2 linked regions of the Diceros bicornis minor genome follow. The protein of the gene in region 1 purifies or fractionates together with the protein of each later gene. This does not show direct contact. Links are inferred from orthologs where the notes say so. Each region holds a gene or a part of one and is shown in the gene's direction. Other genes may lie near its edges.

Region 1 (7,216 bases):
TTCTGGGTGAGCTGGCATGCTTCTTCCCTCAAAGACCAAAGATTTGACCAGTCATGGTCCTGATCCCAAGGTCCCCAAAGAACCTGGTGTAACCAATGGCGCCTAATGTCTGTTTCTGTCATATTCCTTCCAGCCACTGTGATGTTTTAAATATATAATAGCACCTGGTTGTGAAAGAGACAATGATCTGCTAATGTCATTCCCAAATGGTCTCTCCCAAACCTTCCAGGATGCCTTACCGCTTGCTGTCTTGACAACCCTTTGGCTTCCTAGATCCCTGGAAGGAGGCAGTGTGGTGATGTTGAGAAAGCAGGTAGCTCAGATTCAGGGGACCTGAGTTCTAGTTCCTGGTCTGCCACTTACTGGCTGTGTGATCTTAAGAAAGCCCCTTTCCTTCACCCAGCCTCAGTTTCCCAATCTGTACAATGGATCAGAGGATCTCTGCAGTGTCTGCCAGCTAACACTGTCACTCCTGGGTCTGTAGCACATGTCCCCTGGCTAGACAGCTATGTGTCTCCCAGAGGTCTCTAAGCAGAGAAGCAGGTGTACTGTTGTACTTAATGGCATGTTGGTGCCTGCTGTCTCAGTGTTCCGTAATTACCAAAACAAGTAATTCTGGAACTTTTCTTCCCACTCTCTTCTACTCCTGTCCCTGAGAGAGGTGGTGGGACATTTCTGCATCTCACCCTTTAAAGATCATCGTCCCAGATGAGGGAGCTCAGATGTTCTCCCTCCTCAGCCTGCCCCACTAGGAATGGAGAACACACGATGCTCAGTCAGTATCTGGCGGCACTTGAGGACAACCTGGCGCTCCCAGAGGCCCTTCTTAAATGTGGTCTGTTCACTTTCCAAGTTCAAAGCTCCTGTCTGAAACCTCTCTTCACAGGATGGAGAGCAAACCCCATGCCAAACCAACACCTGCTGCTCTGGTGGAAGCCATCACACCCCTGGGCATGTTGCTCCCAACATAGGGTACCCCTACCCAGTCCACTGGGAATGTGAGGAGCTGTGGCTACCATTCATGAGAACCGCTACCATTTCATGAGAACACCCAGGCCACAGGGGTCAGTGAGCTGGAGGTCAGCGCAGAGCAGGAGACCAAACCTGTACGAATGACCAAACCTGAGCACTTCTCTAGCTCTGCATTCTGCCCGCTAAAGCCTTGGGTCATCTTAAAGCCACACCCTTACCCCGGCATGCTGCTCTGTGGCTGCTGCTAGGGTCTTAGTGCCACACTTTCCTCATGACTCCAACCTGGAGGAAGAGGAAAAAGTGGTAAGCTGGTAAATGTTTAGCAACCTGTTCTCTGGTGCAAAAAAGCCCCCATTTGTAGCATTTGCCAATTTCTGGGTATAAATACTCCCAGCATGGCTCTGAGAGGGGAGGAGATGCCAAGGATCTGCTCTGTATAGGCTGCCTCTAGCACACTCCCAGACGTTTCCCTACGTTAAACTCTACAGTACCCTTTCAGGACAATTCACTGTTCTTGTGGTCTATTTCTGCTATGAAGCTCTGATTGGTCTTCTTACCCCTACTGCTTAGCATCATCTCTGGAACACGATAAGCATGTATTTGTTTACTATGCTGCCAAAGATGGCTTTCCTGCCCAACAGATAAAAACCAAGTGCCACCTTGGAGACATCCCAGACTCTAGGGGGGGTCCCAAACTCCTCTGGGCTTCTTGGGACTTCTGCCTCTTCCTTCCCTCAATTGGGTCCACAACCTCAGAATTCCCTGGAGGAACCACTGGTGTAGCAGTCCACGTGGATTGTGGTGGTCTGAGTTCAAATGAATTTGTCCATAAACCGTTGGTATCTAAATCTGTGTGGCATCAGGGGTGAGTCGGAATTGCCCTGCAGTATAGCAGGGTGAGTTGCCTCCCTGTTTCCCTTTCTGGAAGAGCTTAGAAGAGCTTAAAAGGCATGCTGGGAAATCGCTGCTACTGGGGGTGGTGGGAAGAGTTTGGTCTGTTTCTTGAGTCATAGGGTAACCGGTGGGATGGCAAGCCACTGACTACAAACACTGGAGGCTTCTCCAACGAAGGGGGTAGGCATGTAAATCACCTCCAGCTGCACAGAAAAGACCCAGTTCTCTCTCTCCTCCCAGACTCCTTCTACAAAAATGGAGGGAACGCAGTTCTTATACACTTCTTTGACAAAAAATAAACTGCTCCCTTCGCTTGCTTTCCTTCCTTTCTTACCAAATGGCCAGTTTATCTGGAAGCTGCATTGCTTCCTGTACTGCTTCTCTTTCTGACTCTGCTGGTCTGGAAAAAGACCTAACAGTGAGTGTGCTTATTTATGTTGAGGGTAAGGGGTTGGGCTGGGGACTGCCAATATTCTGCTCCTCTGATATCCAGAGTAATGAGTGGGATTGAGACCAATGAGGCAGACAAGTCAGAATGAACAAATTCCTCAAGCTCCTCACTGCCAGGCTCAGAGGAGAAGCCAGTGAATTGCCTCTGGTCTGGGAGAGGATTTGTCTTCTAATGGGAGGACAGGAAGATAGGACACATGCCAAATCAGGACTTTGGTAATTAGGAGACTGGGACCTCTGGCTTCAGAGAGGATTAAATAGCAGCACCTCTGATAGGAAGACTGGAGAGTGGGATGTGAAGTCAAAAGTCTGACCATTAGGAAAGTGGAGGACCAGCTACTTTAGCTTCTCCATCTCCAGCGTAGGTCTATGGCTCTATCTAACTCTCTCTCTGTGACTATCAGAAAAGCCAGAGTATAAATTGTCTTTGGTTACCAGCCTAAAAGCTTCTCCTGTGGTTTCGAGCTTTCTAGATCACATGATTAACTGTGTAGCCTAATTAGAGGTGATCAGATATGCAGTCAAAAGCCTCAAATGACGCCATTTCTGTGTACAATGAATTTCCTAACCATGGCTCCATTCGCTGGACCATAGTCTTTAGATTGTATCCCAGACCCTCTAAAATGGGGAACAGGAATCCAGGCAGCTTGTTCCACGTAGGCAGGAGTCCTAACACCCAACGGTGGTGATGGTGGGAGGCGGGCAACGAAGGTCCGGGTAAATGTGGCAGGGAGCCCTGACTAAGGATTTAGGCCCTGGAGTCAAACGCCTGTATTCACATCCCACTCTGTAAGGCCACGGGCAACTTAAGGAGTAGCCTACACTTCCTGATGTGAAACTGGCTGTAAAGAGTTAAGTGAGCTAACCCACACAGAGTGCATTAGCTGGTGCCAGCACTGAGTAAGCACCCAATACGTGTTCACTAGTATTACCATGTGCCTACAGTCCCCAGGAATCCTAACCCATCTTGCCGGAGAAGTACCACGCTCATACCCATTACCCAGCTCACACATTTAATCAGAGGATTTTGGCAGCTGCAGGGCTGTCTTCCCATCCATGATCTCCCCTGGAAGTCACGCCCTGCTAGCACATCAGTGCAGAGGCAGCATCATAGACCACGAGTTTTAGTCCCATTCGCGGAGGGCAGACTGTCTTTCGGGCTGAGGTTTGGTCCGTGGCTCCCTGTCCGTGATGTATCCAGGCCCAGCCTATCTTTCTTCCTCTCAGGCTTCGGGGGCTTCCTTCACACACGGTGCCCTGTCGGATCACAGGGCTTCACCCAGCTCTGGCCAGTGGGACCCCGGCAGGCCGACGATCTGAGTCAGGATTCGAAGCCGCGCGCAGTGCCCGGGGTGACTCCTTAGCGCCGAGGCCTGTGTCGAGCCTAGAAGGGAAAGCAGGCGACCTCGGCCCGGCCCAGCCCAGCCCGGGTTCAGGGGTTTGCGCCCGGGCCCCGCCGGCTACCTGGTGGTGGCCCCGGGCGTTCCCGGAGGCCGCGGCGTAGCTCCTGAGTGAAGGTGTCTTTGAAGCGGGCAGCCCGGCGGCCCAGGGAGCCCGCGGGCCCAGCCGCGAGGCGTCGCAGGCGCCGGGCCGCGTCCTGGCCGCGCAGCTGGGCCTGCAGCAGTGCGAAGGCCGTGAGCTGCGCCGCGCGCCGGATCGGCCGCGACTCGGACAGACGCTCCACCAGCTGCTGGCTGTGCAGCAGGGCGCCCAGCAGCCGCCGAAGAACCATCCTCGGAGCCACCCGGAACCCGAAGCACGCCGCTCTTGCTTCTGCTCGGCGCTCCCCAACAACGGACCACGTCTGCGCCCGCGCCGCTGGGTGACGACACTGCCACGCTTGGATTGGGCCGCACGATTCCGACTTTCTGCAACCGCCCCCGCGCGTTTCCGCTTCCGCCTGGGCCGCGGCGGCCTCGTTGTTCCCGGAGTGGCGGCGTCGCCGACCAGCTGTGTGCACTATGTCCGGCGGCCTCCTGAAGGCGCTGCGCAGCGACTCGTACGTGGAGCTGAGCCAGTACCGGGACCAGCACTTCCGGGTGAGGGAGGCCGGGCTGCGAGAAGGGAAGGCCCTAGGCCGGGACGCCGAGAATCGGTTTGCTCTTGTCTCATTGTGTCGTCTCCCGTTCTCCAGTTTCCCGGGACGCGAAGAGAGGCCCCGGTGCCTCCTGGGGAATGGATGCTGAAAGGGCGTTTGGATGTCAGTGAAGCCCCATCTCTCATAGAAAGGGAGTTTGAGGCTCGCTTTCCCATTCCCTTGCAGCCGCTGCCTGTTAGCGGGCCACTGCAGAGCGGTTTGAGCGGCAGTAGTGGTGGCTCACGTTTTCACGGGCTGTGTCTCGGGAAGCTGACTTGGCGATGAGGGGAAGAGGTGTCCTTTGACGCCTGGAGTATGTGGAGGCGCCTTCCTGACCCAGATAGTGGGACTTTTTATTGCTTTTTAAAATTTTAAGTTAAATTAGCCAAACTGCCCCTTGGCGCTTCGAGTCCTGTCCTTGGTCTGGTAGAACGGTCCTACACAGTTCTACGCGGTGGATGGGAGACACAAATTTGAGTCCTGTCTCCACCCTTAGGGAAGCCCTTGGAGTGGGGAGGTGGACCAGCCAAGCTAGGCACATTAAGTGTCTGGATATCAGGATCAGAGAACTGCTGGGTTTCAGAAGGGGGAAATTTCAGTTTCGCCTATGTCATAGTAGATTATGTGGAAAAGGGAAGGCTGCAGATATTCGGGGTACGCTCTTCAGTATCAGCAAAGGCGGGGGTGGGGTGGACGACACATGAACCACTGGTTATTCAGTAAACTTTTATTGAGTGTTGTTGCTGAAGCCTTCTGCTAAACCTTAAAGGGAGAGAGAAGACAGTTTCGGCACCCTTAGAGTTCATAATCCTCTAGTAGGGATGGTAAATAGAGGTAAGTAACCTTAATCTAGAGCAGAAATGATGAGTGGAAAGGGAGGGGCTGTGAGGAATCAGAAGGGAGAACCCTTATGACTGGGAAAGGAGGGCCACATATAAAAGAGGGTAGGCATGGAGAATGTAAAATGTGTTGGTAGGGAAAAGGAAATTTTGTTTGAGGCGAAATTGAGGAAGATCTTAAATTCATTCACTCAGTCAACAGTTTTTAAATGCTTACTCTATGCCGGGCATGATTTTCACTTCTATTACTTTCACAGTTCTCATTACTTTAGAAAGTTCCACATCATAACCATCTTGAATTTCAAGCATCCTGCAAGATTAAAACTGTGAACAGTTTTAATTAACAGATAAACAGAAAAACGACTTTTTCTGTTATTCATCTCTGCAAGTCTAAAGCCTATAGCTTTATTTAGTAGAAAGATACTGTGATGCGGAATTTCTAGTGTTCCCTGAATGGAATCCACGTTAACATCACACGTTAAGTACTTACACCACAGTTGTCTTAAGCCATAGGGTATTTGTTTGGACATTACTTACAAGTGGGAGAAAACTAGAAAGAAAAATAAATGCCTCCTGACCATAATTTTAACAAATCAGTAACAGCAGTAATATAAAGTGAATCACTTTAATGTCTCATTCCAAAGTTCTGAAAGCCTATTTTAATGTAGAATGACTCTTGTCCTGTGAACTTTTTAGGGAGTATGAGATTGGGGATAAGACAGGGTTTGGATTCCAGCTACAACTACTGAGTAGCTGTGTGACCTTGGACAAGTTACTTAATAGTCTTTCCTCAGGTGTAAAACGGGGATAATAAATTAGGACATACCTCATTCAGTTCTGAAAATTAAATGAGCCCTCATACATGGAAATCCCTGACCTGCAGTTCCTTGATTCTCCCTAGAGGCAGACATAATTAACTGTTTCTTGTGTATGATATCTGTGTATATTCATACTTTTATGTAACTTGCAGCATACCTTTCACGTTCTGTACCTTCTTTTTTCACTTTGCTCTCTCTCGGAGATGTTCCATATCACTGCATGTGGATGTTAGATTTTTTTTGGGACTGCATAGTTTTATATTTATTGATGTACCATAATTTATTCCATTTTCCTTTTGATGGATGTGAGTTCAGATGGTTTCTCTGTTCTACCACTGAATGTGATCAGGAGACCTATTACTCAGCACTGTGCTGCAAAGCATTCAGACACGAATAATGCAGTCTTAGTCTCTGAGTGAAGGAAGCTGGATCAGCATTATGTATGGTGTAGTACATGAAGAAGGGAGGCCTCTTGGGAAATGCTCTGGGGGCCTGAGTATGGATCTACTGAGCTACTTTCCAAGCTGGAATACCACTGTATGGTTGATGTTAGAGCCGTAACCTGGGTCAGAGGGGCCTGCGAGCAGGTCACTTGGTAGGTCTTCTATTTAATCAGTATTCGTCCTCCCCAGTGTGGAGGAGGTGAGAAGAGAAAGTCGGAGGACGGCCACACAGGTTTCTGTGAAGCCATCTAAAATACCACGTCTAGCCCATGATGAGCCATCTTGTCCCCAGGGATTGTCAGGTGTGTTGGCTGAAGTCCAGTTGTATTCCTCTCGCTTCATCTTGTCTTCCAAATTAGGAAGCCCATCAAGAAAGTGAGATATCTTATTTTTAGTGATCCCTACATTTTCTTCTAAACTCAGAGAAAAATATATGAGCATGTAAAACCATCTAAGCAGTTGTTGCTTTGAACATTCTCTATGGAAGTATTATAAGGCAGTTCCCTATCTCTGAAAATCCGTTTATTTTTCATCATGAAGGATAAAAGGGTCCCCTCTAATATATTGGTTCAAGGTCCAGAAATTAAATTTGGGCCATTAGAGAAGGAGCCAGTGCTGAGGATATGGGGTGTACAGGGAAAAGGCATGCCACTTGTGTGGCAGTATAGTGCAGGAGGAGGACCTGCATAGTGCTTCATGGACTCTTTTTTTTTTTGGCAAGGG
Region 2 (7,196 bases), on another chromosome or scaffold:
AAACAGTAGGTAAGTTCTTCTGAAGTTCAGAGAGGAAGATATCACTCCTGGTTGGAAAGACAGTTAACAACTAACATTAATGTAGCAATTTCAAAGCACTTCCAACTTAATTCTCACAAAAACCCAGCGATTCAGAATTCTCATTCGTAGATGAGAAGATGGTTCAAGGAAGGTGACTTGCCTGGGCTTGCTCTGGTAGGAAGTCAACCCTACCAGATTCCGAGTGTTCAGAACTCTGAGTGGGTCTGAGTGTTCAGATTCTGCCGGTCCCTCTACTGCACCATGCTGGGAAAGCTTCACGGAGAGGGCAAACTCTTAGGCTGAGCATTTAAAGAGGGACCAATTTTGACAGGTAGAGATAGGGCCAGGGCTTTATAGATAAATTGAACAGCAAAGATATGAAGGCTGGAAAGGCTAAGACATACTTGGGAAGGGTTGAGTAGAACATGTTAGCTGAAGCATAAGCTCTGTGCAGGGGAGTCAGAAATAAGAAAAGTGTACTGCACTGTGGCTGGATCACACATGTTCTTAACCACCAGACTGAGGAATTTAGAAATGATTTGACAATGGTGAGGGGGAGGGGTGTACTGGATGTGGGGAGAAGAGGTAAAATCAGGAAGATCTGGAGAAGTTAGTCAGATTGTTGTGGAGAGGATGGAGGAGGCAGGGGAACCAGTTAGGATGCCTTAAGGTGGACTTGTGGGTGGCATGGGAAGAAGAGCCAGATTCAAGAAGCACTGAGTGGTGAATTAACAAGGTGACTAGGTGAGGGAGTTGGGAGAGAGGCAGGGAGTAAAGATGGCTCTTAGCTTTGAGTGGAGTCCCTGGAAGAATGGTTATGCCATTAACAGAGTAGGCAAATTTGCAGAAAGAGCTTCAGGAGGAAAATCAGGAACTCCATGTTGGATCTGTTGTGTTTGTGTTGCCTTCTGCGTATTGCCACCTGACTATCCGCTGGGAAGGTGGGTGGTGAGTCAGAGGAAGAAGAAGAGTGTGACTGACCACCCAGGCTTTGAGGGCCCTTCCTTCCTGTCTCTGCTCTGCTCCCCACTCCCCTGCTCCTTAATGTAAGTCCCTGATGGATACAATGCTTGATATATGGTGGATACTAAAAATATGTTTGGAAAAGAAATCTATTTAAAAGAAGAGTTGTCAGGAGAAGTTTCAGGGCAAAGGCAAAGACTAGAGTGAGGGAAAAGAGGAGATGGTTGCTAACAACGGGAAGCACCAAATTTGAGTCACTGGAGGCAGTTATTTCCCAGAGATTAAGAACTCTAAGGCCTGGTGGGAGCTACAAGTGGTAGAAATCTGGTAGAGTTAAGAATGTGGAGAGACTCTGGGGTCAGGGTACCAGGTGTGTGGATGTTGAAGTCACCAGGGATAATGGCAAAGAGTAAAACTGACTAAGTTAGACCTGGGCAAGAGGGGGCCCTGCTCTGGACCCTGCCCTTTAGAGGACCTCACTCTGGCTCTCTTCAGCTGCACCACTCCCCGTCGGGAGTCCATGCGGCCAAGGATTCATGCTCACTGGAACCTTGCCTCTAGACCCAGCTCTGGATACCAGAGCCCTGGGGTTCCCTGCTCAATGGCCACGCCTCCTTCCAGGGCCTTCTCAGGCCTCTTTCCTGGGTCCATCCCTTTGGGGGCACACGATGCTACTGCTTTGCACGCTCTAGGCCTGAGCAATGGCTAAGGGGCATCTCTTGAGGTGGGTAGGGGGATGTAAATAGAGCTTTAGTGGTGAGAAGCAGGACTTGAACTTCGTGGGTAGAGGTATGCACACATGTTCTTAAGGTCTATTCCAGTATAGGATGGCGCCGGGACATGGAAGAGAAGAAGAACAAAAAATGGGCTGGGGGCTGGCTTCCAGCCCTCTTTGCACCACCAAATTCTGAAGCAGAAGTCCAAGAAGTTGGGACGTTAGAATTCAAACCCAGACTTCCAGGTTGCAAAGGAAGTGCATTTGTCAATGTCAAAGGTTAGAATATATTTTATTTAAGTTTGTAAGCTTGATGTATAATTTTTAAATATTTATATATGTGCTATGTAGACCTCCATTTGTGATCTTGCCCTCATATGTAAGGAGTCTTAGGAATCAGCAGGTTATAAAGATCTCCCTACTGTGAGCCTTGACACCCACCACACTTTTGGGGTGACCACTTATTTTATTGTCTGTCTACTCTGAAAGACACGAAGCTGTGTGGAAGCAGGAACCAGGCTGTCTTGTTTACAAATGTATCCTAGTGTTGGTGCAATGACTGACACATGGTAAGTGCTCACTAAATATGTCTAAAACTTCAGAATGATGAAAGACAACACATCTGATGACAGCAAGTAGGGTGAAGAGAAGTGGTAGCAGGGGGTAAAGTAACCTGAAAAGAGAATGCCTTGCTCAATTATAATAGAGACTGAGCAACAGTCTAGAAGTTTCTCTTCCAGTCAATCAGCGAAAGTGGCAAACATGCACTTTCCATCACCTGAAGAACTAGAGTTGAAGCAATCTATTCACTCTAAGCTTCAGTTTTGGTTTTTTTCCCCCTCTTCAAATGAGTGGTTGGACTAGGATCACATAGTACAAAGTAAGAGCCTGGAGTTCTAAAGTGACTGATTCACAGAAGTGCATTAGAAAATGTGAATCAACATTTAAAAATGAAGTAAAAAGAACCCAGCTTTTTGGTTTGCCTTAAAAAAATGAACCTTTGGCAAGACTGGCCCACAGTACAATATGGCAACAATGGTCTGAAGCCTTTAAATGGGCCTGTGTTTTATCAAAAAGCCAATGTCCCATCACTAACAAAACAAATGCCCCAGACATAGCCTGGCCACCAAAGGCCTCATTTTTTTACCTCTGGACCCAGGCTCTTCAAGGCCCCTTTGCTTTGAAAGAATGTCTTCTTTAATCTCTTTATGGTTATATTTCTACCAACGTTTGAATGACCTCAGTGTCATTTGAATTGTACTGTAACATCGCATACCTCTTCTATCTGCCATAGATTCTGAAACTGAATTATTTCACATATAATCAAAGAAGTCCACTTGCTCCAGAAAGCAATACTCTATTAGTGTTATAGATCCAAATTTCCCTTGATCATTCCTCCGATGACATCTAAAGAGAGATGCTAGACTGGCGAGTCTGCGGACGAGTACTTGACTGCTGCCTAAAGGCTGAGAAGATTATGTGTGGTGGTGGAACAAGAGGTGTTTGGGGCACAGAAATGCAGGACCTCCTATAATGAAGGTTGCAGAACCGGGCTTGGAAGGATGATGAAGAAACCGAGAGACGCTAGAGCGCTCATTTGTTCAGGTATTTATGGAGTATTCACGACGTGCCAGGCACTTTTGATGCAAGGGATTCAGCCAACGTCCCTGCTCTTACTGAGTTAATTCCGGTGCGATAAGCTAGGTAACACACACATAAACACACATATCACATACATACATATGTACATGTCAGGTGGAAATGAATGCTATTTATAAAACCAAAGCAGACCAAGAGAACAGCGAAGGAGGGTGGCTGATACTCCACGAGACCCCAGAGAAGCAAGTGAGCAAACCACGAACCCTGCGTCGGTTATGCATTTTCTAGGCTGCAGGGAGAGAGGTGAGCCTCTCAGAAAGCCCTGCCCCCTCCTTCCCAATAGGGCGCAAGGTGCCGTCTCCGGGGAAGCTCCTCCCGCTTCCCCGCCCAGAGGCGGCCTTAGAGGCGGAGCTTCGCGACAAGGAGCTCAGAGCGCGCCGCGCAGAAAGGCGCGCGCTTAGTGTTCCCGGCATTCTTTTCGTTCTGTCAAGGCTAGGAGAATTACCCCCACTGGAGTCTGGCATGCTGGGAACTGTAGTCCCCCCCCCCCCCCCCAGTGCTCCGCGTCTAGCGGGCAGTAAAGCCGCTCAGTACGGCTCCGTTGTTGGCACAGGACTTGCAGGCCCTAGGGGTTGCGGGAAGGCCTTGTTGGGTGGGGTGGGAGTCACCCCGAGAACAACCGGGCACAATCAGCCGGAGTCCAGGCCCGTGGCCGCCCCTGGTCACGTGACCCCCAGCCTCCCCGGGCGCGCGCGCAGCTCCTCTGCGCTGTTCCCGCCCCACTCCTCCCCGCCCGGCCGACGGCCTGCGCCTCCCCCGGCGCTGCTGCCACCTCGCGCTCGGAGGCGTCACGGAACGTGCTCGCCTCTCCCCCTCCCCCTCCCTTCCCATCCCGTCCTCCCCCACCTCCCCCTCCCGCGCCGAGACTCGCCGCCGTCGCCGCAGCCGCAGGAGTAGCCGCCGCCGGAGCCGCGCGCAGCCATGGCTGAGAACCCCGGCTTGGAGAACCACCGCATCAAGAGCTTTAAGAACAAGGGCCGCGATGTGGAAGTGAGTGTGCTTCCGCGGTCGGGGCCCGCCCGGCTCGCCCGCCTGGCCGCGCTGGCCCCCGGCGGCGGGGAGGGGCGGGGGGCCGGCGCCGGGCTGGTTCTCGCCGGCTCGCGGTGGGTCAGAGTTGGCCGCCGCCTGCCGTCACCGCGGCCCGGGGCTGGGCGGAGCGGACGGCGGGACGCGGGCCGGGCTGCAGCCACCCTCCGGGGCTGCCGGCGCGGGGACCGGGAAATGCCGGGGTTTTCGGCTCCGTCACGCGGGCGCGGCCTGCTGTCGGCGAGGAAGGGATGTAGAGCTGAGGCGGGGTCCGCGGGCCGGGGCCTCGCGGGCCGGGGATGCTGCCGCCCCGGTCAGTCGACCGCACCGCCGAGGGGGCGGCGCGGCTCGCGCCGGCTGCCCGTGCAGCCTCCCGCCCGGCGCAGCCCCTCGCTGCGTCCCGCCCTGCCGCACATGGAGCCTCGGCTCTGCCGGTCCCCGCGCCTGCCTCCTGCGAGCCGGGCCCAGGCGGGCGGTGGCGGCCCGCAGAGGGGGGTGGGGACCAGCCGGGTAACTGACTTGTTTGAGGGTGGTGGATGGGGGAGGGTAGGATGCGCCAGGACCATTTTCTGATATTCCAAGGCTGTCCTTTGGACTAGTCGTGCTGAGCTGATCCAGCTCATACTCTTGTTACTGCTGGCATTTGGAGCAAGCTGAAGGTGGACAATAGTTTACCATCTATTGTGTTGAGGCTTCGGAAGAGACGTTGTTCCGACCTCCGCTCACAAGACTTGTTTTCTTAGCCTTTCTTGTAGTGAGGGTGTGTATAGGATAATAATTTCTTTGACATGTTTTACTGAAATAAATTGGATACGTAGGTTCATACGGCCTTATATATACCTCTTGCTCCCAGCTGGAAGAATTTCCGAGTGGTTGCAAAACTGTAAACATTCATCGTGGTCACAGTTCGTTGCTACTCAGCATGTTGCCATTGTCTCATTAAGGTGACATTAGCAGGTACTATTTGCAAACTCGGCTTATTGAGGCAGCGCTAGAGGTCTCTCTGCAGCTACTAAAAGCAGTGTAGTATAATGCATAAACTTCACTGGGACTTTGACCTCTGGATTTGTTAGGGGGAAAGTGGTTTTAAGTCCACAGTCTTTTTTTCTAATGCTAGATGACATGATTTGCAGTTTTGTAATTCTTGCTAAGGGGCCAGTGTGACTAGGAAGTGTGCATTTTGTCTCAGAGAGAAGGTGGTGGGGAAAATATGCCATTCAGCCTTGTTTCGTAGAAAACCAGACAAAACTCAGGCCATTTTTCAGAGCTCCAAAATTAAATACTAATTGGAAAAAACCTAGGGAAATACTGTGGAATTCCCGTTTGAATGAGACAGATAAAGGTCGTCTATCTCTGCCTCGGTCATGGTTAAATTTCTTTTGTGAGAAATACTTCTAAGCAAAAGTGAAACTTAGGAAGAGCAACAAGAAATTTTGGAACTGCCTCCTGTTATTGGTCCACTTGATGATAGGAGTTAATTTTGAACTTTTTCCATCAGTAGTTGTTCTTGAAGCTTACCCCTGTTATAAAGCAAAACTTATGTAGTTTGAAAAATAAGCATGTTGTTTGTAGAGAAGAGCTGACAACTTTCTTTCCTTTCTTGGGTGTTGTTACAGGTTTTTGTTTTATTGTTTGCCTCTGTTACTGTGTTCTGGGAACACAGTGATACCTAGTAGGGATTCCTGCATGTAATAAGTGCACAATAAATATTTGCTGATGATCAGAATGTAACCAGTGACTTCTGGATGCATGAAAAAGATACGTGGTTGCTAAGCCTTTCAGTCTGAAACTATTGGTAGTAACAACATCACGTTTCCCAGGATACATTAGGGTAACGAAGGGGTGAAATGGCAGACATTCAAATGGTAGTTCTATATGACAGAGACTAAACTAAGAGCTTCATGATACCTCATTTTATCCTTATAACAACTTTATGAGCTTGGTATGGCATTGTCCCCACTTTACAGAAGGAAAGCACTTTAGATGAGGAAACTCAAGAGTGCTTCATGTAGCCTGCGCAAGGTCACGAAGTGGGTACGAGCATTTGTTCACTAATTGTCTATTGGGTGTCTGATAATGTTACGTCTTGGGGATCAAAAGGGAGTAAAATTCAGTCTGTCCCTCAAGGAGTTTGCAGTTCCTCAAGGAGATTGCTGTTCAGTAGGAATGATAGAAAAGTAAATTGATAATTACAATGCAGTACATCAATAAGTGTATTCTGAGAATGCATGAAGAGATGCTAACTTGGAGCTGAGCAGTCAAGAGAGATGTTCTGGTTGATTCCTGGTGGATTGATGGGAATGAGCTGATCCTGAAGGATGAAAGAAAGTTGGCCGGGGAAAGGGAGAGGGCAAGGAAGGGGCATTCCAGACTTGAGGTGGCAGTAATTGAAGAGTCCTGAGAGAATGTAGTAGGACTGCTGTGAGAGAAAGGAGTGCTCGAGATGTGACTAAAGGGTAAACTGGGGTCAAATCTAATCAAATCTGATCCTTTATTGTGGATTTAGGTATCGCTAAGACTAAACACCATAACTAATTTAGTCTTATCCATTAGAAACTATATTACATTAAAAACTTATACTACGATTTAGCTCTGTGACTAAGTAGCGATCATCAGGCTATTTCAAAACAGTGAGATTCGCTCTGGCAAGATATCATTCCTACCTTTTCACATATAGGATAGATAAAAGATATAGTATAAATTATACAACTAGCTGATACACAAATAAGATGCTCGATGCAAGAATGAAATACATATTTTCTAAAGAAAATAAAAGTGTAGAGTTATGCCAGAGAATTGTGAGTGGGGAGAG

What was found. The genes of interacting proteins can lie anywhere in the genome.
Region 2: the proteins of NCBP2 (region 1) and KPNA3 purify together in Homo sapiens (co-immunoprecipitation; 3 studies listed by BioGRID and IntAct, with this or other methods). This does not show direct contact. The link is inferred for Diceros bicornis minor from reciprocal best matches to the Homo sapiens genes NCBP2 and KPNA3.

The regions. Positions count from the first base shown.
Region 1 is NC_080754.1:29,108,449-29,115,664, reverse strand, and holds the start of NCBP2 (nuclear cap-binding protein subunit 2), read left to right. Parts: upstream 1-4,210; 5' UTR 4,211-4,277; coding exon 4,278-4,355; intron 4,356-6,398; exon of another isoform or gene 6,399-6,645; intron 6,646-7,216. Other genes in the region: protein NCBP2AS2, read right to left, coding at 3,749-4,048. UniProt on the Homo sapiens protein: Component of the cap-binding complex (CBC), which binds co-transcriptionally to the 5' cap of pre-mRNAs and is involved in various processes such as pre-mRNA splicing, translation regulation, nonsense-mediated mRNA decay, RNA-mediated gene silencing (RNAi) by microRNAs (miRNAs) and mRNA export.
Region 2 is NC_080748.1:27,437,724-27,444,919, forward strand, and holds the start of KPNA3 (importin subunit alpha-4), read left to right. Parts: upstream 1-4,191; 5' UTR 4,192-4,279; coding exon 4,280-4,348; intron 4,349-7,196. UniProt on the Homo sapiens protein: Functions in nuclear protein import as an adapter protein for nuclear receptor KPNB1. Binds specifically and directly to substrates containing either a simple or bipartite NLS motif.